Linked DNA regions of Danio rerio. The protein of the gene in region 4 binds, or shares a complex with, the protein of the main gene of each other region. Links are inferred from orthologs where the notes say so. Each region holds a gene or a part of one and is shown on either strand. Other genes may lie near its edges.

Region 1 (5,468 bases), on a different chromosome or scaffold from region 4:
AGCATGATGGTTTTCCTCAGTGTCAGAAATGGACATTTATTTTATTTTATAATATTTTTTATTTATTTGTACTAAATTTAGTTTTTTATTCTATTTTATTTTTTATTTTATATAATTTTTTTTTATATTAATTTTTGTCAAAAGGAAAAACAAGATTATTCCGCCTCCCCCACTGTCAGATTATTCTGCATGTTTTAATGAGAAACTCTCTTTATTTTGACTCATTATTTTTGAAAGCAAGACAGTATTTTATTCCCGTCTACAAATGCTTCTTGATGTATGAGTGTGTAGATGAGAACAGCGCTGTTTGCGGTGCACATCTGGACCGATCTATCAGCAAGCATCAAAATGGGACAAAGTGATTGCTTTAAATGTAGAGGTGCTTTAATTTTGAAGGTGTTTAAGACCTGGAGCGTGTCTGTGCTTCAGCTGTCAGTCAAATGTGTAGCGTTCAGATACACTAAGCTCTCTCTGTTGGTGTATTTAGACTCTTGTGTCTTCCAGACTCCTGTGGGTTACAGTCGTATGAAGACATTCTCAGTAGATGTTAGTGTAGAATTAATAATACAAAAACAACTTCATTCAGTGCATGGAAGAAAACGACCTCTGTGTTTTATGCATGAGTTTACTTGAATTCTCTCACAAGTGCATCATCATCATCATCATCATTAATGTGGAAGCTTTATTTGAGGACTTTAACTGTAGATGAGGGATCAGAGCGAGTGCTGTTTGTTCTGATTTGACTAACTGTGCTGTTTTTAACTGTGTGTTTGGTACTAAATTGACGTGTGTGTGTGTGTGTGCGCTGATGAACTGAATGATTTGTTGGATGATTGTTTAGTTAATATTTCTCAGTAATGCTCACACTAGTTTAATGTTTCAGAACAGATCTGCTCAGATTAGATACCAAAGTCGGTCATTTTAACACCAACTTGAAGATTAACATCAGATTCATCAACTAATGTGAATCTGCAGTAGCTGTGTTTCCATCCAGCAATGATTATTGTGCAAAAACAGCTTAATATAGATGTCTATAAACTTGGAAAACGTGCATAAAAACATGTGCACAACTAGTAGGATAAAAGGTTGTATTTGATAAAAATAAAAATGCACATAAACTGTAGGGGTGGAAGGGGGGACTCTTCAAAACCAAGATGGCTGTGATATGGAGCTCAGGGTATTTGTAGTGACTTAGGGATCGTCTGATTGGTCAATCATGAACAGGATAATGAGGGACCGGCTGTGGTCAATCATAAGCACGAGATCCTCTGAAATTAGCTTATAAATAAACTTCACTTATAACGTAAAATGTGCTTCATATAGATGCCAAGATGTCTATAAATTTGGAAAACATTCATATAAAACATATGCGCATAATTACCAGGATAAAAGGTTTTATTTGCTGAGAATAAATGCAGATAAACTCTGAGCTTCATCAGTATGCGTGATGTGATTTAGTTTTTAACCGCTAACATTTATTCACGGATATTTTAAGCAATATTGCAGTTTTGCGCATAATTTGCATCTATTTGCATGTTAGGATGGAAACACAGCTGTCAAAACGAGTTTCTAGAGAACATCTGAGATGAAGAAAATCTGATTAGTCGCCCAGATCAATTCAATTCAGTTCACTTTTATTTGTACAGCGCTTTTACAATGTAGATGGTGTCAAAGCAGCTTCACATAAAAGGTCATAGTAAATTAGAGCAGATCAATGTTTAGGGCAGCAGAAAGTGTGGAAATGTAGGATTACAGGACGTTTTCTGTAAGTCTGAGTTGGGGTTTTCCCTCATGGTGTTGCTTCTCTGAGGTTTATTTAGACCTGTGATCGCTTCATTACTGTGTTTTAGTCTTCTCTCATGCTTTATCTCACCACCTGGAACAAAACATTCAAACAAAGCTGATATTTTGTTGGTTCTGTGAACCATAACTGTGTGGAAATATGTCAAGATCAATGATTATTATCAATAAAATGTTTCTTAAAGGTTAAAAATGCATTTCTTTTATCAAACAACGGTTGCATGTTTTGATAAAACCAAGTGTTCTGGGTTCCCATGAGTCTTGAAAGTGCTTCAAGTTTCACACATGTGAATTCAAGGCATGGGAAGAGCTTAAAAACAAACAGAGGTGCTTGAGTTTAACGTTTATGATGTTATTTCAACAATTGTGCTGTTCTGCTTTCAGAAAATGAACCAAAAACAAACGAGAAATTCTTCATTTATAAACCTTACACTTACATCTTACACAAGAACTCCCCCCACAGTCCAAACACATGCGCTATAGGGGAACTGATCAACTACACTGGCCGTAGTGTATGAGTGTGTGTGTGAATGAGGGTGTATGGGTGTTTCCCAGTACTGGATTGCATCAGGAAGGCCATCCGCTGTGTAAAACATATGCTGGAATAGTTGACAGTTCATTCCGCTGTGGTGACCCCTGATAAATAAGGGACTCAGCTGAAGGAAAATGAACGAATGTATCCTGATCATTGCTATTTTAATGTAAATATTAAGTGTGAGTGAAATATTAGGTACAGTGAGGTCTTCCATGGCGCTGCATATGCTGGCAGTGTGAAGCGCGGAGGTGCTTGATTTAAAATGAATGCTTTAAAAAGTCCCAGAATCTGCTGTTCATGAAACCGCTGGAACTCTGAGTGTTCATATACAAACGGAGTGTGTTCTGAGTGTACCTAGCTCCTAACAACACACCGCACAAGATTTCAGCATCAAACCATTGGTGACACACACACACAACACTACTGAAACACTTACATTCACCGTAATAAAGTATGCAGCAACATCTGGCTCATGGTGACTTGAGAAGTCATGGTGAATCAGAAGCTGCCGAGGCTTTTATCTCAGTGTGTTGATGTGCTCTCAGTTGAGACTGAATATGGAGTAGACGGGGCTTTTATTGCATATCACTCTCTGTGTTCAGCACAAGTCTATTCTTGGTTTAATTTCGGAGACCGGCACTCAGAGATCATCCTCAGTGTTCAGTTGTGGTCTGTAGTTATTTTTAATGTACTCCAGTGCCATAAAGGTGTCAGAAAGTTTATCGCGGTGCTGTAAAATCTGCTGCAGCTGACGCGAGTGCTGTGTGGATGATCCAATGTAAACACACTGATCCTGTGAAGATCATGTAAAGGCTGAGGGCTAATCATTTGCATGTTGTTGTTTACTATTAAAAACGGCTATTTGTATCTTCTGTAGGTTATGGATAAAATATGGTCATCATAATAGTTCAGTAACATTTATTTGAGTTTTTTAAATCACCAAGCGACTCCCACCACTGTATTACACCACTGCTTGTTCTGAGTCGCGTGACGTCACGTAGGGTGGGACACGCCGCACTCCACCCGACATCTGATTCCTTTTCTTTGCCTGATGTCTTTATGTTTGCTGCCTTTTAGTCTGAGTCTGCTTCACCCAGTCCTAATATTGAAATAATCCTCATCCTAATAAGAGTGAAGAACTGCAGGGTTTAGTACAAACATTTAATTTCACATTCTTTCATCAAAACATGAGGAGATAACATTAGATGTGCTTTCCAAAACACACACGGCATCAAAACTAAACCAACATTAGGCAACAAAGTATTTCATAATAATAATAATAATAATAATAAAACAAATCCTCTTTTCTACATCATCATTACTGTTTACAGCGGAGAGATGTCCAGTCCTGTTTCTCCGTGATGCTGTTCAGTGGAAGAGGATGTGTTTGTGTTTGGAGCTGGGAATCTGCTCTCGGCTCTTCAGTCTCCGCACGGCTTCCCTCATGTGTTTGGGCTGCAGAGGTGGAGTGTCCCCCCACTTCTCACACACATCCAGAGCTGAAGACAAGCAAGAGAAATGCATCACGGAGACGATCAGCAGAGCGTCATGGAGCTCTTCACAGCACTGTAATGATGTGTTTAACGCTCATCAGCATCTTAAATACGTGAACGTTTTAAATATTAAGAATATTTGTAAAGGTGTGCACATTTATATGTGTTTCTCTATGCGTTATGTCATCTGCGCATCAGTAACTGAACTCCCGCGTGTGTGTGTGAGGTGTGTGTAATGCAGGACAGGTAATCTGACAGTATTCTCTCCTCTGGCTGCCGTTATCAGTCTCACACTGTCTGAAAGTCTTGATGGTTAGTTTGAACTGACCACATTATATCTTACAGCACATTTACTGAACACAGATTGAGGTGAAGAGTTTGAGCTTTAGCTTTTGGACTAGAAACAAGACAAATAAGAGTGTCTGCAGAGCAGCGTGTCACTAACCTTCTTCAACAATCTCTCCAGCAAACACTTTGGCGATTCCGGACATGGCGATGACCACGTTTTGAGAGACCGATGATCCGGTGATGGACTGAATCAGCTGGAGGACAGAAAGAAATCTGTTTAACTCCAAGACAAAGAAGATGCATCGATAATCACACGCTCATGCACTATTCTGTGCTATTTTGAGGTATAATGGTGTATATAGTGCATTCAACTCACGTCTTGTACAAACAAACGAGTCAAAATGAAGTTAAAACAAGCAAAACAGTCTGCAAATCAAAGGAGTGAGCGAAATAATCTTGTTTTGCCTTTTGACACAAGATTACTCTGCTTGTTTTAATGAAAAACTCACTTCATTTTGACTCATTATTTCTGAAAATGTTTGATTCTTGTCTAGAAAACGCTTCTCGATTGAAGAATTGATTCGTTCTAACCAGTAATATTGAGCACATTTTAGCGTACAGTATAGTTACCAAACACAGACTGTGCAGTTACGCATAACTAAAGAGTCTTAGCTGGTGCTAACTCGCTTTTCAATGCAAGATAATTCAGAACGGTGGGAGTGATCTGTTTATTTGCTCCATCACAGGCTACAACTGTTCTTTCATCATCATCCACACAAAGATTTAATCAACATTAGTGTGGGCAGTTAATGATATAAAAACAGCCTGAATCATTAAAAATGATGATCTGTTTCAGTGAAATGATGCTACATGACACGCCTGCGCCTAAACTAATGCATCACTCACACTCAATATGAAAGAATTGATGGACTTCCAGCAGGGGGCGCCTGTAGACCAGCAGGAATAACATTCAGTTTCTTTTCAGCTTAGTCTCTTTATTAATCCGGGGTCGCCACAGTGGAATGAACCGACAACTTATCCAGCATATGTTTTACGCAGCGGATGCCCTTCCAGCTGCAACCCATATCTGGGAAACACTCTTACACACTCATTCACATTACATACAATTTAGCCCACCCAATTCCCCTATAGCGCGTGTGTTTGGACTGTGGGGGAAACCGGAGCACCTGAAGAAAACCCACACGAATGCCGGGAGAACATGCAAACTCCACACAGAAGCCCCAACTGAACCAGCCGAGACTCAAACCAGAGACCTTCTTGCAGGAATAACAATGCTGCCATTTTCTTTTCAGCTTTGTCCCTTTATTAATCAGGGCTCGCCACAGCGGAAT
Region 2 (5,158 bases), on a different chromosome or scaffold from region 4:
TCAAATAGATTTTAATCTGAGTTCAAAGTTTTGTATAACCCAAAGGGCAGGTTTGATCTGAATCAAACGTACGATTGGATTACATGGTCTGATCTTAATTCAAAATCCCTGTTACTTTTGAAAAACCCATTTCCAAGATTTGATTCAAGCCATGATCCAAAATCCCACTGGATTACTTTGAAAAACTGGGCCCAGGAGATCGGCTGAATGAATTCAAAAATTGTTAAAACTCAACTGTTTAAATGTGGGGGAGTTGTAAAATTAGCCTATAATATCCAAAAAACGTGGAGTGTTCCTTTAAGGTTTAATGTTCATTTTGGTTACATAAAGCAATCCTTATCTCCTGCTCTGAATTGCAGAGAGCCTTGATACTTTTTTGAAGATATTCATTTTAAAAATTAAACACTGGAGATGAGTTCCTGTTTATTTAATAGATGGATATCTGTGGAGATTCATTAAAATGAAAGACTAAAAATCGTGTGCTGATTATATTAACTGAGCTGCATGATTCTATTTCACCACCACAGAATATATTTGTTTGATACTGGATTGCACTGCTTTCACTGCATGTTTCTGATTAGCAAAAAAAGGTTCATTTTCTTTTGTATCTGAATACATTGATCTCAAATTTCCATATCAAACTTACCTGTTCCATCTCTTGCTCCTCTTGACGAATCATACCATTCAAAAGTCCCTGAAAGCGATCCTGTAAGAGAAAAGAGAGAGACTTCATCTAGCTGACAGTACACTGACTTTACTGCTTGTACACGGATCTATTTGATTTATGACCCTGTGAATGGAGCTTAGATGTGCATGACCTTTTCCTGTCCAATGTGACTGTAATGACCAAGGACAAACTAAGCCAGTATAGTGACCACGGTCCAAACGAAGTGACACTGTTAAACCACATGTTCAACCCCATTTTACAGAGTCTAAATCCTCCTGATGGAGTGGTTGCCAGAGCAATGAATTTGACTCTTTTTTTTTTTTTTTTTTTTGTGAGTTACATAAAAACAGCTAAAGCAGAAATGCAATATTTATGCCTTAAAAAGATGCCAAAAACTTGTTTCCATGAGATTTATTCAAGTCCATTTTAAAGGTCTGTTCTGCACAAAAACTGTCACCAAAACATTGTGTTTACATGATGCAGAGTGCCAGAGAAAATAGCAAGCTACATCTTTTAGTGCAGGGAAGTGAAACTCACCCTCAGGGCTTGATTTTCCACCTCCATGATCAGTTTCTCCTGTTGCTTCTTGCGGGCACGTGTTTCCTGGAGCTTGGCCTTCAAATTGTTGATCTGCATCTGGTACTCCATTACTGTAGATCAAACAGAAATTGTAAGCTCTAGACATGAGCCGCAGTGAACATGCACACGCTTCAGTCATAGACTCTGGTGTCACACTGAGCTCTTTTACCTTTGAGAGCTTGTTAATCTGCAAATGCTTTTGCAATCTAAGATTCCAATTATCTGTGAATCCTTCACAGTGTAACCGCGCAACCCTTCAGGCTGCATAAATACTGAACCTCACCTCTTACATTCTGCACCCTTAGAGAGAATTCGAAAAGGTTATTTCCACTGAATGGACTGCACATCTGAATATGGAGAAAATAGCTTTGTGGATAATAGATAAGAACCGACTGATTATTTATCATAATCTTGGAGACTTTGGACATGACTTGCATTTTAACATGTAAACCATTTTAAAGCTTCTATTTTATCTAGAGAACACCATTCATTCATTCATTCATTTTCTTTTTGGCTTAGTCCCTTTATTAATCTGGGGTAGCCACAGCGGAATGAACCGGAAACTTATCCAGCATATGTTTTTACGCAGCGGATGCCCTTCCAGCTGCAACCAATCACTAGGAAACACATACACACTCACATACACTCATTCACTACGGTTAGTTTTTAACATACCCAATTCACCTGTAACGCATGTCTTTGGATTTGTGGGGCAAACAAGAGCACCCAGAGGAAACTCTCGCGAACACTGAAATCTAATAAGGGAGCCTAATGCCGAGTTCAGACAGCATGATTTTAGCCCCGATTTTTGACTCGCCGACAGTTTTTGAGAAATCTGAAATCACAGGTAAATCGGTGCTTGTTCACGTGAGTAACAATCACACAGTGTGAACTATCAAAAACGAGATCTGAGAGAATCACCATTTAGTCACCGACACCCATCAGATATTTGGCATGCTAAATATTTAGACCTGTCGGCGATTCAAAATCATACCCTGTGAAATGTGTTCTGATTGAAACATTTTCAGCGATTACCTACAGCCAATGAGAGAGCAGCATCCACTAATATAGGTATCTGCAGGTCAGCAGAAGGTTGGAGGAAACGTTAAAAGAGCTTCTTTTTAGTGTATTTGGAACTAAGAAATTGAGGAAAAACTAATGTAAATTTGGCAGGAGCACCTGTAACTGTTTGACATGCAGGGCTGATAGTGGAAAAAATTCCTGAGCCTGAACTTTTTTTCCTTGCCCCTGAGGTGAGTAGGGGTGGGGGTACTATGTATGCAACGCACTTTTAACACATAACTTGTGGGCCCCTGGGCCCAAATATATTAACAGCCTATGTGTAACCCTGATCATCATTATTGTCAAGTGGCTCTTTTTAGACACATGCCAGTAATGTCAGTGACACATGCCAGTGTCAGTGATCTTGTGACATGTGCTAGTAGGTGTCAGTATAAGCACGTTATAAGCACATTAATCTTATAAGTCTCTTTGCTTTAATATTTAAAAATCATTAGGCAAATGACAACTGTTATCTTACATGCATATATGTTATGAGTTTTCAACATGCATTTTATTATAACTTTTTAAAGGATATTATTTAAAATACCTTAAAATGAAAATAAGTTAAATAATAAAATAAATGAATGAATTAAAAACATAGAGAAGTCCATATTGTAGGGAACAAAGGAACTGCCAGGATGCAATAATATACAGTACAACAGATAAGTGTAACCCCTCCCATACATAAGCATGCCACAATAAATTTGACTGACATGTACTGTCAAATGACTATATTACGTACGGAAGTATGACTACGAATACATAAAATAAATGCGTTTAAATTAAAACATCGTGGAGTAGCTCAGCAAATAAACTAACTTGCGACGCGATAAATTAGGTTAAAAGTCGCGTAATGATTAAATATGGTTTTGCTCGTGTTAATTCATGTCATAAGCTTCACCGGGTGTCGATGTCACTGCAGTGACATGCAGCGCGACAGTCTGAGTCTGAGTGACACAGGTCACTACCATAGACTGTAAAATATAAGCTAAAACTCGCCCCAAGCACCGGCAAAAACAAATAATAATGAATGTGTCGAGGAAAGAGTAAGGACATATCTTAATTATTTATTAATAAACTTATTCTGAGTCAGTGTCGCAAAGATCCTGACTGGCAATCTCCTCTTGGACTCGCCTTTAGAAATTCATCTTTACGGATTACATGAAGGAGTTTTTTTGCTTTCGATTTGTTTTATTTTGTTAAGTAATAATTTAAAGCTTTCTATAAATATATTTATTATGTCTGTGAGGCATATACATTTTGCTTCATTTTGTTAAGCTCTCCTGTTCAAAAACCAGACGACAGAAAGCGCATAATTTTGGTTTTCTTTATTTTATAAAAACGCTGTAACGTTTTTTGATGTATTACTCGTACTTTGTGAGCAAAAATGACGGATAACTTTAAATTGCTCTCACTGAAAAAATGCAAGTGATTGCTCTGGCGCCTCGATGTCCTGCAAGCTTTTTATAAGCAAACTATGCGCCTAATAGCACACATTCTTTAACGTTTAAGCTACCATTGTTTTATACTTTAACTGTTTTATATCTTTTATTTTAGGCAAGTCGTGATGATCTGAGAAGGCAAACTGATCAAACAGACAATGATGGTCTTCCGCTGGGCGCTGTTCATTAAAAAAAAACAAAAAAAAAAAACTTATTTTTAACGAATAAAAAATGCTCCAAACGTTTTTCTAAATGAGCTGAATAAAAAACGAAACTAAATATAAACACTTTGCCATTAGGCTACATACAAAACTGAACTATTTCATAGCTGAAACACTAAGTTGTTTAAGGAGAAGGGGGAAATATATTTTTGTCCCGTCTATTGCTTCACCGTTATTTCGAGAATAAACCCAGCGTAAATATGCAGATGTCATTCCCAAAACATATCAGCGTATATGTGCCGAAAACGAAAGTTTCATACAAATTCTGAATGGATTATAGCCTGGAAAGTGCAAAGCAGCTCCTCTTATTATCACTAAAAAGCGTCACTAATCTTAGTTCATAGAGATCTCACAAAGATCCGTTATAATTTATAAAGCTCTCTAAATTACACAATTAATCTTTTATTTACATGGCGTCTACACTCAAAAGATGATTCACGAGCACACAAAATTGCACTTAATAAAATCCAATCCGGCGCTTTCAGCAGTGAGTGAATTCTGTGAATCTAGAGAAATGACAGATCAATATCCGTGAACCTGATTTTTTTTTTCCCCGCAGCCACAGTACACCGGAAATCCGGCGTGGTGCCGGAACGCTATCACCCCTGGACATGTCATCTGAGCAATACCACAACCGAAAAAATGAAGGGAAATTGCTAATTCTCCTTAAAACCCTGGTGAGCAAAATAAGTACATTCTTATTATATACTGTAGTTAAAAACAAAATATATACTATGTGACTTTGTGTTGTTTACATGTCACTTCTCACGTGTGTTTGGTTGTGATATATAGTTTGCAGACAAGGACAAAGTTGTCAGTGATACTTTGTTTTGTAAGGTCATGCATTGTGAACCGCAGTGGCCGATCCATCTTGCAGTGTAAACACAGCAGCGACTGAATGCTACCCCAGATAGTCATGCAGTGTGAAAACATCTCTCCCGTGACTACTTTGAAAATCGTCTGAACTCGGCATAATAAGAGTGCATTTTTTAGACATCAATGGCTCATTTGAACATGTCTGTGATGCAGTTAAAATGTAGACATTTTTATAAAGTTTTTATCATTTAAATGTATTATTTAAACCAGTTTAAAAATTCTTAAAGCTATAGTTGACCAAAAAACAAATCTTTTCTCACCCTGAAGTGGTTCCAAACCAAAGTTGATATATCTTCTGTTGAACACTACAG
Region 3 (5,158 bases), on a different chromosome or scaffold from region 4:
TACTGATCATACATGCTAGATCATACTAAATTCATGCTAACAACATGATAGTTTATACTAGAAACATGCTAGCAACATGCTAATTCATACTAGAACCATGATAATTTATTTTAGTAACAACCTAGAAACCACTCAGAACATCTTATCAACCGCCTAGCAACACCTTAGTAAACACCTAGAACACCCTAGCAACTGCCTATCAACCACTTAGGGCCTACTCACACTATGCCGGGCTTTGGCCCGGTTCGAGGCAACTGTACCTAGTGTGAGTACGGCCTCAGAACACCTTAGCAATGGCCTAGCAACACCTTAGTAATCACTCAGAACACCCTCGCGGCACCTTAGGAACCACTCAGAACACCTTAGCAATGGCCTAGCAACACCTTAGTAATCACTCAGAACACCCTAGCAGCACCTTAGCAACCACTCAGAACACCATAGCAACTGCCTAGAAACACCTTAGCAACCACTCAGAAGACCCAAGCAACACTTTAGCAACCACTCAAAACACCATAGCAACACCTTAGCAACGAACTAGAACATCCAAGCAACCACCTAGCCACTAATCAAAACACCTTAGCAACCATTTAGAGCACTCTAGCAACCGCCTAGCAACACCTTAGCTACCAACTAGCAATGCCTAAGCAACTGGCTAGCAGCACCTTAGCAACCACTCAGAACACCATAGCAACTGGCTAGCAACCACTCAGAACACCCAAGCAACACCTTTGCATTGATCAAGCAACCAATCAGAACACCCTAGTAACCGCCTAGCAATGCACTAGCAACCACTTAGAACACCCTATCAACCACCCAGCAACACCTTAGCGACCACCTAGAGCACCCTAGCAATGCCTTAGCAACCACTCTGTTGACAGCTTAGCGACCACACTGAATACCCAAGCAACGGCCTAGCAACACATTAACAACTCTCTGAAACACCCTAGCACCCTTAGCAACCACCGATCAACCACTCAGAACACCTTAGCAACTGCCTAGCAACACCTTAAAAGTCAAAACACCATAGCAATGCCCTAGCAACCAGTCAGAACATCCTAGTAATACCTTAGCAACCACTCAGAACACCCTAGCACCACCAAGCAAGAAACATGCCGATCCATACTAGAAACATGCTAACATAAATGTACTGATCTGTCTATGCCAACTGCTTCAAACTTCTTAAACTACTTCAGTTATTCAATTTTTAAAACTACTTCAGACTTTCAGACGAGGCTTTCTCAAGCGGCTATAAAGATTGTCTACGAACTTTACTTTTCTAGTTAAATACTATGACATTAGCCCTACACAGATGCAAAACACAATGTAATGTTGAGGGGAAGCAGGCAAATTGAAATAAACTCTCAGAGACGGTGGTAAAATGTAATTAATATGATTTTCTTTGCAGTGCTGTCTTCATTCCAACATTTTTGGAAGCCTTAAATACCTTGTGACCTGTGAAAATGCGAACACAGTTTCCATTCAGGACGTCCCAGAGTCGTACGGTGCGGTCGGACGAGCCCGTGGCCACATAGTTGGAGTTGGGATGGAATCGTGTGCAGGTGACGTCTGCGAGATGACCAGCAAATATCCGTAAAGGCTGGTAATGATCCGTCGCCCAGAGCCTGACAAGCAAATCATGATATCAGATGAAGACAAACGTGGGTGGATTTGATTTTTACTTTCCTACAGCTTAGTCCCTTATTTATCAGGGGTTGCCACAGCGGAATAAACCGCTAACTACTCAGGCGTATGCTTTACGCAGATGCCCTTACAGCCGCAGCCAGTACTGAGTAAAACCCATACACACACACACACTCATACTGGTGATGGGAAGTTCGGATCATTTTACCGACTCAGATCTTCATCTCGTTCATCGAGATGAATGAATCCTTTTTCGTTCATTTGGTTCAATTTGCCAAAATATTATTAAAATGCTTATGAATTGCTTCCAAACACATCTACAACTAGCCCAAAAGGTTGATCACATGACAAATAAGTCATAAATAGAATACTATAAGAAGGAGAAAATAATAATTCAATGTTTACATGCTCTTTTGTCTATGAAGGTTTTGTTGTCTCTTTGGTCAGCTCACCTCTTCATGTCTTTAAATGTCAGTGGTTCGTTCACGTTACACTGATGCTGCGTTCACACCAGACGCGGCACGCGCGTCAAGCGCGAGTGATTTACATGTTAAGTCAATGCAAACGCGCGAATAGAACTCCTGCGGCGCGATACACGCGAATGGCGCGGCGCTAATGACGCAAATTGCGCGAATGACGCGGGGCGAATTGAGCGTTTTGCGCGTTTGACGCGCTTAACGAGCGTTTCTCGCGAATCTTTTGATTTTGAAAATCTGAACTTCAGCGTACATTCGCGCGCGTTAACCAATCAGACACTTGCTCTTGTGGGGGCGTGATTGTGACGTAGAACCTGTTGTCGTTGTTCCGAGGGAAATCCTCCAGCCTTCACCGACAACAGTTCATCAAACACGGCTTGGCTCAGTCAGAAGCACCGCTGAAAGCCTCCGTCATCCAGGTTAAGTTTCTGGAGGAGTTTATGAGCTCACAGAGCTGGATGCACCTCTGAAAGAATGTAATGGACTCAGACACGACCCTAAACATATCGACGCTGTTTTTCAGTCTTCATAAAGCACAAAAACACTGTTATTTTCTTCATAAAATCCATGTTAGCCATTTAGCTATGAAGCTAGAGTCTTCGGGCAGACAGAAGCCCTGCCCATCACGCGAATCCGCGTCTGTTTTGATGTGAATTTGACACGCGAAAGATGCGGGGTTTGACGCGCGCATGAAGCGAGTAAACTCAAATGTTCATGAGGCTATTTACGCGCGAATAGCACGATTTATCCGCACGTTCCGCGTCTGGTGTGAACACAGCATGACAGTCACATACATATAATCGTAACCAATGTTCACAGTCTGAGCCGATAGGAGCCATGACGATTAGTTCACCTTTCGAGTCTTCTGGTTTTTGAGTCGTTCGTTCATCACGTGACAGAATGACTCAAATCCGATAGAGGACTCGAGAGATGAACGGATCAATTCTTTTTCCGGCTCTAAACGCATATGATTGGCCCGTGAGGAACGAATGACTCAGACCCGATAGAGGACTCGAGAGATGAACAGATCAATTCTTTTTCCGGCTCTAAACGCATATGATTGGCCCGTGAGGAACGAATGACTCAGACTCGATAGAGGACTCGAGAGATGAACGGATTAATTCTTTTTCCGGCTCTAAACGCATATGATTGGCCTCTGCCTTTCTGCGATGAATGACTCAAAAGACTTGAAATAAACGATACCACCTGCACAAATGTGCGCACGCGCGGATGAACGAATCATTCCCTGAGAGGATTCGTAGTTCCCGAGTCATATTGAAGATTTGTTCAAAATGACCGAATCGTTCAAGAATGACCCATCACTAACTCATACACTACGGCCAATTTAGTCTACCCAGTTCACCAATAGCGCATGCCTTTCGACTGTAAGGGAAGCCGGAGCACCTGGAGGAAACCCACGCCAATACGGGGAGAACATGCAAACTCCACACAGAAATGCCAGTTGGCCCAGCCGAGGCTCAAACCAGCAACCTTCTTGCTGTAAGGCAACAGTGCTAACCACTGAGCCACTGTGACACCCAATAACAATTTTTTTTATAACATTGTTACTAGGGAGGGGCGATACCTATTATTTTCTCTCCAATCCGATACCAGGTATTTCAGGATAAGAGTAATGACAATCCACCTTACCTTGCCACTCTGTCATGTCCTCCAGACACAAAGTAGTAGCCGAATGGTGAGAACTGAGTGTCCCACACTGGATAATTGTGTCCTTTATACCCTACAAGACAAGTAAACGTCTGCAGGCTCCATAGTCGGATTGTACCGTCCTCAGAGCTGGACAACAGATAGTTCCTATGACACAGACAGAGATATTAAACCACACCCTACACTACCTGACAAAAGTCTTGTCATCGATTCCAGATGTAAGAGCAACAAATAACAACTTGACATCTAGTTGATCATTTGGAAAATTGCCATTTTTCCACATCTGTTGAACTGCATCCCAATCACCACAAATACTGGAGAAGACCTACTGGAACCAGCATGGAGCCAAGATTCTCATAGAAATCAGTCAAGTTTGGTAAAAGAAAACTCATGGTTTGGGGTTACATTCAGAATGGGGGCATATGAGAGATCTGCAGAGTGGATGGCAACATCAACAGCCTGAGGTATCAAGACATTTGTGTTGCCTATTACAAACCACAGGAGAGGGCAACTTCTTCAGCAGGATAGCGCTCCTTCTCAAACTTCAGCCTCCACATCAAAGATCCTGAAAGCAAAGAAGGTCAAGGTGCTCCAGGATTTGCCAGCCCAGTCACCAGACATGAACATTATTGAGCATGTCTGGGGTAACATGAAGGAGAAGGCATTGAAGATGAATCTAAAGAATCTTGATGAACTCTGCAAGGACACTTTCTTTGCCATTCCAGATGACTTTATTAATACGTTATTTGAGTCATTGCAGAGATGTATGGATGCAGTCCTCCAAGCTCATGGGAGTCTTACACAATATAAATTTTTTCTCCACTGCAACATGACTTTATATTCTATACTGTACATTATTTCTTTTAAGTGCCAAGACTTTTGTTTAGGTGAAGTCAGACCTTACTGTCCTAATTACATAATTAAAAATCAAGGTATGATCACATCTTATTTTGGTAAAATAAGCGTAATCTAGGGGCCTTTTCCTTTCATATAAGCTACTTCTGACACCAAATGATAAACTAGAAGTCAAGTTATTATTTGTTGTTCCTTAAACTTGGATAGACAACAAGACTTTTGTCAGGTAGTGTACAGCAGCTGAAAAAAAAGATAATAAATCATGCAAGAATATTTTTAGGGGTGGCAAACTCTGTTCTGATTTAAGTTCTGTCTAACTTATTTAACCATGAATTGTTCCTCTAATTTTCTTGATACCTGTCTGGGCTGAAGCTGACCCCATACACTGGCCCACTGTGACCATGGAGGATCTTAGACTCGCTGGACGTCTTCTCATCCATGATCCTCTCTAGAACATCATCTGACTCTTTATCAATCAAATTCAGGTCTAAAAAAAAAAAAAAAAAGAATGGTTGGCA
Region 4 (5,711 bases):
TTTAGAAGTACTAATAAACTGCCAATCTCTTAATAACAGGCAGCTAATAAGCCAGTAGTGAAATCGTGGAAACCGATAAATAAACTAAAGTATTAAGAGTTTTTGTTTATCTTTCATACATTTAAAGTGCTTTTATCATATTTGACCCAACAGCTTTCTGAGAGAAAGCTTTCTTATTCCGAACTCACATCCTTGGATCTGATGCTTCAAATCCAGCTCTGTTGAGATAGTATCCTGTAACTGCGTCTGGAATCTGAAGCACAGACAGTTTGTTAGCAGTACAACTCATAAAATATCATTAATAACCAAAGAATAAACTACAAATCACAAAAGGGAGCTCACTGTAGGAGTGTAATCCTCCAGCTGCATGAGGAAATCTGCCAGTGGTGTAGTTGAGATCACAGGCTTCACGTCTCCGTTGGCGATCTCTGTGGGCACATACACGCCGTTTGATACAGTGGAGTCGGAGGATGGGGTTGCCATGGAAGCCGAAGTAGACACTTTGAGGGCGGAAAGTAAGTATAACAGACAATTTAAGGCAATAAAACAACAATTGACATTACAGGCAACAATCAAAAGGCAGCTAAAACTTCTCTTTCATGAGCACTAAACTACAACCTAACAAAAAATTCTTCTTCTCATTCTTTCCTTAATCCCTCCCTACTTAAGTCTGCATTTAATAAAATTTCCATAGATTATTTTGCTAGCGCAGATTGTTAGTCTCAAAGTGAACGATTCATATGTGCAAGTTAATCCACTTAAGAGGAACAGTTTAATCTAAATCTGACCATCTGCTTCTGCTCTGTTATGGCAGTTCTTCTCTGATGACGTCAGTTTGACAGATTGGAGCAAAAGATGCTTAGCCACACCTCTTCAACCGTTAAGTTTGCCACAAGTGAAAGATGACAGGAGCACAAAAATAAAACCCGCCCACTGCTCAATATTTCAATTCAGTTGGAAATAGGTCATCACACTGAAATAAAAGTTTGCAACAACTTCCTGTTAATACAGGCATTAAAGTGGGCATTGGCTCTTTGTGATAAATCACAATACCCTTTCTCATTTGACAGTTGCTTTGGACAAAAGTTGGACAACTAAGTGTAAATAATTGAATTTATAATTAAATGTTTGTAGGTAAATGCTAAGCTCTCTGATCAGGGCTGGGTAGTAACTAGGCCCACATGGAATCTGTGTGCGCAGAAATCCACAGATTTCCACAGGGTTTTTTTTTGCCAAATTTATATATTTTATTATATATATATATATATATATATATATATTATTATTATTATTATTATTACATTTATTTCAGTAATATTATTGACCATATGAAAATGTTCATATGATTTATTTACAATACAGTTTGTAAAGTAATATTTCGTCTTTTAGTAGATTTTAGTAGACTTGCTTTGTTTACCAAATAAGTGCATCTAATTATTTAATTAAAAAATTAAATAAGTTAAAATTCCATATATTAAGTATTTAGTTAAGTTGCTTCCAAAATCTTTTTGCATAAATTCACACATTTTTTACTTCTGCGCAGAAACAGCAAAAAATGTCTGCAGATTCTGTCTGGCCGTGGTAATAACACATGATAACTATATTTTACATGATATAATTTTCAAATAAAACAGTAATATGTGACAGGATTACAATATAACAACTAATAGTTTTTTTTAATATGATGCAGCTTAAAGTGGCTTTATGAATTGTGTAAATAAATGCATTAAAACCACAAATTTTGTGAATTGGTCGCTCTTCATTTTCTTTAAGCACAGAGTCTGCCCCAGGAGTTTATGTTGACATTAAAATTTGGTATATTGTGAATTTACTGTTTAATAATGGAAAAGTATTTTAGTGTAAAGTGTAAATAGGAAGTGTAAGTAAACTAATTTTACTCATTTTAAAATAGAAACTATCACTCACATCTTACTATCTTTTTTTAATACTTAGTTTTTATGTATTTTTTTAGAAACATATAACCAGTGGGAACAAAACAAACTATAAAACATATAAACACACATACATAACAAGTATATACGTGTATATACACAAATACATCCATTCCACACAAGTATATCTATATGCATACATATATAAAAAACAGTAAATTAACCTCATCAAGAAAATAAATGAATAAAAAAGTACAAAACAAATATAATAAAAGGTTGACAAACATTCTCGCAATGATGCATAACCTCTAGAATTACGTAAACGTTAAATTATGGATAATTGTATTGCCGTTGTAGAGAAAGCCAGCCATCTCTTTTTCTATTTGTAATCATTTTTTCCATTTCTGTTATTATTTTGAGCGGATCTTCTTCATACCATTTCCAGGTTATAGCTTTTCTTACTTTTTGCCAATAATATTTTAAATAGATATCCAGCCTCCTTTTCAAGTTTAATAGTTATGTCCCCTAGATAAAGTACTTTGAATGATCTAGAAATATGAAGATCAAAAATATAATTAATGGCCGAGAGTAGTTTCTCAAAAACTGTTCATTCTTAAGCACTGCCAGGATATATGTGCATGATGTGCCTCTTCTACCCCCCACAGTTGTCTCACTACCTTTATACCTTAAAAGAAACAAATTTTACTTTCTTAAATCGATTTTTTAAAATAAATTGTCACTATTTGCACCTTGATTTGAAAATGTGATTGGCTTGTTTTTCAGTTGTTGTCTATACTACTATACCCGTTTTATGCTATTGCCCTTGAAAATTCACTGTTGTACTAATTGCAGTAAAAAAGAAAAGCAAGAGCACCCCAAGAAAGAAGACTTGAAGTTGACCATGTAATATTTAGCTGTAGTGAGGAAATGTCATGTAGGCCACATTGCACATTGCGTTTAAAATCACTTGGATTTCTGTGATCAACCCATTCTGTCAAATGTTTGTCTGCATGCCTAGGTGCTTGATTATAATACACCTGAATTCAATGGAGGGGTGTCCCAAAAACGTTGGTTTTTGCTGTAACGTTACCTCAGATCTGTGAAATGTTCATCTCTTTGACATGCGTTTGACAAGTTTTACAATATACGAGAAGTTTAAACGATTAGTTATCTGTTTGCTTCGTACAACTATTATTCAGGAGCAAAAATCTGCATTAAAACGTGAAATAAATAAAGTTGTGACTTTTTTGTGATAATTGGCGATAACAACTAATATAAAAAAAGCGATAAACTGTTATTATTTTCAAGTCACATCGCCCAGTAAAAAATGAGTGTTGTGGAAAAGACACACAGAGACACACACCATTGCTGCTGGCGAGCGCAGGGATGCTGCTGGCGTTTGTGGTGCTGCTGTTCGGGACGCAGTTGCTGCTGCTGGACGCCGCCGCTGCTGCTCCGGTCTGCGTGAGATCCACGTTCATTTTCCCGGCTTAGTTTATGTATTGCAAACGCTAAGCTATACTAGAAAAACACACACAGTTTAAACTAATGTTGGGTTGAGTCGAGCGCTCATTTATGCCGTTTAAACGGCGAAGTATCGGTCGCTCGCTCTGATGATAAAAATATTTACGCTGCAACTGCGTCAGGTGATCAACACTTCCGTGTGCAACCACTATGAAATCCCGCTTGGTGTTGGAAATCGTCAATGGTTCCGGATAAATCCCTTTTAGCTCACATTTATTATTTGTAGTATTGAATTTAAAGCGCAAACTTTGTCATACGTATTTGGCATTCAATATATAATTTGCAGTTCATCCAAAAGGAGAAAGAAGAAACATATTGCGTGTGTAGACCTAGACCGAGGACATTTTGCAACAGCTCCATCTAGTGATGGCGGTGAAGTGGGTTATTTCACACAAAGGAATGTCAGAAAACTTAAATATAGTTATAGTGTTCAAATTACACTTTAAGGTCTCTGTGACTGCAACTAATACACTTAAACCACAAAATAATCTTGTTATTAGCGTATCAATCTTACATGCTGTCATGTTACTCATGTTATCTTAAATAATATTAATAATTAAAATAAAATAGATTATACAAATATAAATTTGACCACCCCTATGGTTAAAGGCATAATCGCGCCAATCAGTCTTTGCAAGACTCATTCAACAGCGTGGATACTGTAGTGTTCGAGACAGTTCTCTTGTAAAATAGGTGTTTGTATAGTTTGAGTTACAGTAACCTCTAAAATAATAAGAGAATATTTAAATGTCTTTAGATGTCATTTAAAAAAAAAGGCTAAATTTGACAGAGTAATTTGCACTCTGAGTATTAGTATTAAATATATTATATATATTATAATAATATTGTAAGTATTATTATAATACTTTAATTAAAATTTGAATATATCATCTTATAGCCTGTCATTTAGAGTTTATTATTTCTAAAAATGGCTATTAAATCTTATGGCATTATTCATTCATTTTCTTTCAGCTTAGTCCCTTTATTCATCAGGGGTCGCCACAGCAAAATGAACCGCCAACTTATCCAGCCTATGTTTTACACAGCGCATGCCCTTCCAGCTGCATTCCAGTAGTGGGAAACATCAATATACCCTCAATCACACACATACACTACGACCAATTAAGTTTATTCAATTCACCTTAACTGCATGTGTTTGGACTGTGTGGGAAACCAGAGCTCTTTTGGAATTAATGAAATTTAAATAAATTCCTTAGAATGCCTGCTTAAATCCAGTCCAAAATAATAAATATTATTCTGAAAGGTTTCTAGAACAAACTTAAGTGTGTTAGATCTTGGAGGGGAAAATGTTATTAATTTCCTAAATGCTTTTTTTGGACACTAATATTAATTAATAGATAATTTAACAAAAGAAAAAAAAAATGTTTGGGTGTGTGAAAACACAAAGGTTTGTTCTCGTATTTTTAAACTCTTTCAAGCCAAAACACACCCTAACACAGTGTCACGAGTTGAACATAAAACTACAAAAATATTTTTAATAATTTGAAACTTAAGATTATTTTGTTATTAATATATTTACAATTTTTAATACAACTTTTATTGCTTTATTATTTGCCTGCATTTGATCATTTATTTTTATAAATCACAATAAGGTTTCTAAATCTACATCTTCGATTTAGATATATGGGTGGCACACATAACAGTAGTCACATCAATGACCAACATAAAATGTTTCCAAATTAAAAGCATTTTGTTTTATTGTCACAAGAATCATACACTTTAGTAACAAAATCAAAAATAAATGTGCATATAGAAGCCACATATCAATATGTATAAGCCTACGAGAGTATGATACCATAACCACCAGATTCGACTGACACAGACGCTGACAGTAAGGTACAGATATGGTCAGGATGGTTCAATGCCTTCTCAACCATTGTCAAGTCGCTGGAATGACGAACAAAAAGATAAAAAAAACATGCCATCAGATGAAATCGTTAAGACTACAACACTCATTCCTCATCCTCCTAGCATTACATTTCACAGAAAAATGATCAAATACCAAAAACAACATTGTGCTGTTTGTGTAATCTGCTTTACAAGGTGCAGATTTTCACAGAAATCCATTAAAGTCAATACTGCCAAAGCTCAGCTGTAGTTATGCATTTGTGCAAATATTAATATTCTAAAACCAAAACTGCAAAAAGGGTTTTAATTAATGAACAACTTAAATTTCAACAATTTTATTACATTTTAAAAACATTTTACATTCAAAAACAAATGCAAAACATTTTAGATCAATGATGTTTAGTCTAAACTCAACTAATATCAGTG

Evidence for each region.
Region 1: taf10 (region 4) and taf11 share a complex: the UniProt entries of both Homo sapiens proteins name them as parts of the TFIID basal transcription factor complex. The link is inferred for Danio rerio from reciprocal best matches to the Homo sapiens genes TAF10 and TAF11.
Region 2: taf10 (region 4) and taf7 share a complex: the UniProt entries of both Homo sapiens proteins name them as parts of the TFIID basal transcription factor complex. The link is inferred for Danio rerio from reciprocal best matches to the Homo sapiens genes TAF10 and TAF7.
Region 3: taf10 (region 4) and taf5 share a complex: the UniProt entries of both Homo sapiens proteins name them as parts of the TFIID basal transcription factor complex. The link is inferred for Danio rerio from reciprocal best matches to the Homo sapiens genes TAF10 and TAF5.

The regions. Positions count from the first base shown.
Region 1 is NC_133198.1:383,690-389,157, reverse strand, and holds the end of taf11 (transcription initiation factor TFIID subunit 11), read right to left. Parts: intron 4,371-5,468; coding exon 4,274-4,370; intron 3,835-4,273; coding exon 3,704-3,834; 3' UTR 1,614-3,703; downstream 1-1,613. UniProt on the Homo sapiens protein: The TFIID basal transcription factor complex plays a major role in the initiation of RNA polymerase II (Pol II)-dependent transcription.
Region 2 is NC_133189.1:45,464,020-45,469,177, reverse strand, and holds part of taf7 (transcription initiation factor TFIID subunit 7), read right to left. Parts: exon of another isoform or gene 4,575-5,158; intron 2,432-4,574; exon of another isoform or gene 1,996-2,431; intron 1,318-1,995; coding exon 1,205-1,317; intron 707-1,204; coding exon 647-706; intron 1-646. UniProt on the Homo sapiens protein: The TFIID basal transcription factor complex plays a major role in the initiation of RNA polymerase II (Pol II)-dependent transcription.
Region 3 is NC_133176.1:52,737,642-52,742,799, reverse strand, and holds part of taf5 (transcription initiation factor TFIID subunit 5), read right to left. Parts: intron 5,128-5,158; coding exon 4,998-5,127; intron 3,933-4,997; coding exon 3,768-3,932; intron 1,623-3,767; coding exon 1,445-1,622; intron 1-1,444. UniProt on the Homo sapiens protein: The TFIID basal transcription factor complex plays a major role in the initiation of RNA polymerase II (Pol II)-dependent transcription.
Region 4 is NC_133183.1:27,711,311-27,717,021, forward strand, and holds the start of taf10 (transcription initiation factor TFIID subunit 10), read right to left. Parts: upstream 3,593-5,711; 5' UTR 3,374-3,592; coding exon 3,256-3,373; intron 501-3,255; coding exon 343-500; intron 254-342; coding exon 189-253; intron 1-188. UniProt on the Homo sapiens protein: The TFIID basal transcription factor complex plays a major role in the initiation of RNA polymerase II (Pol II)-dependent transcription.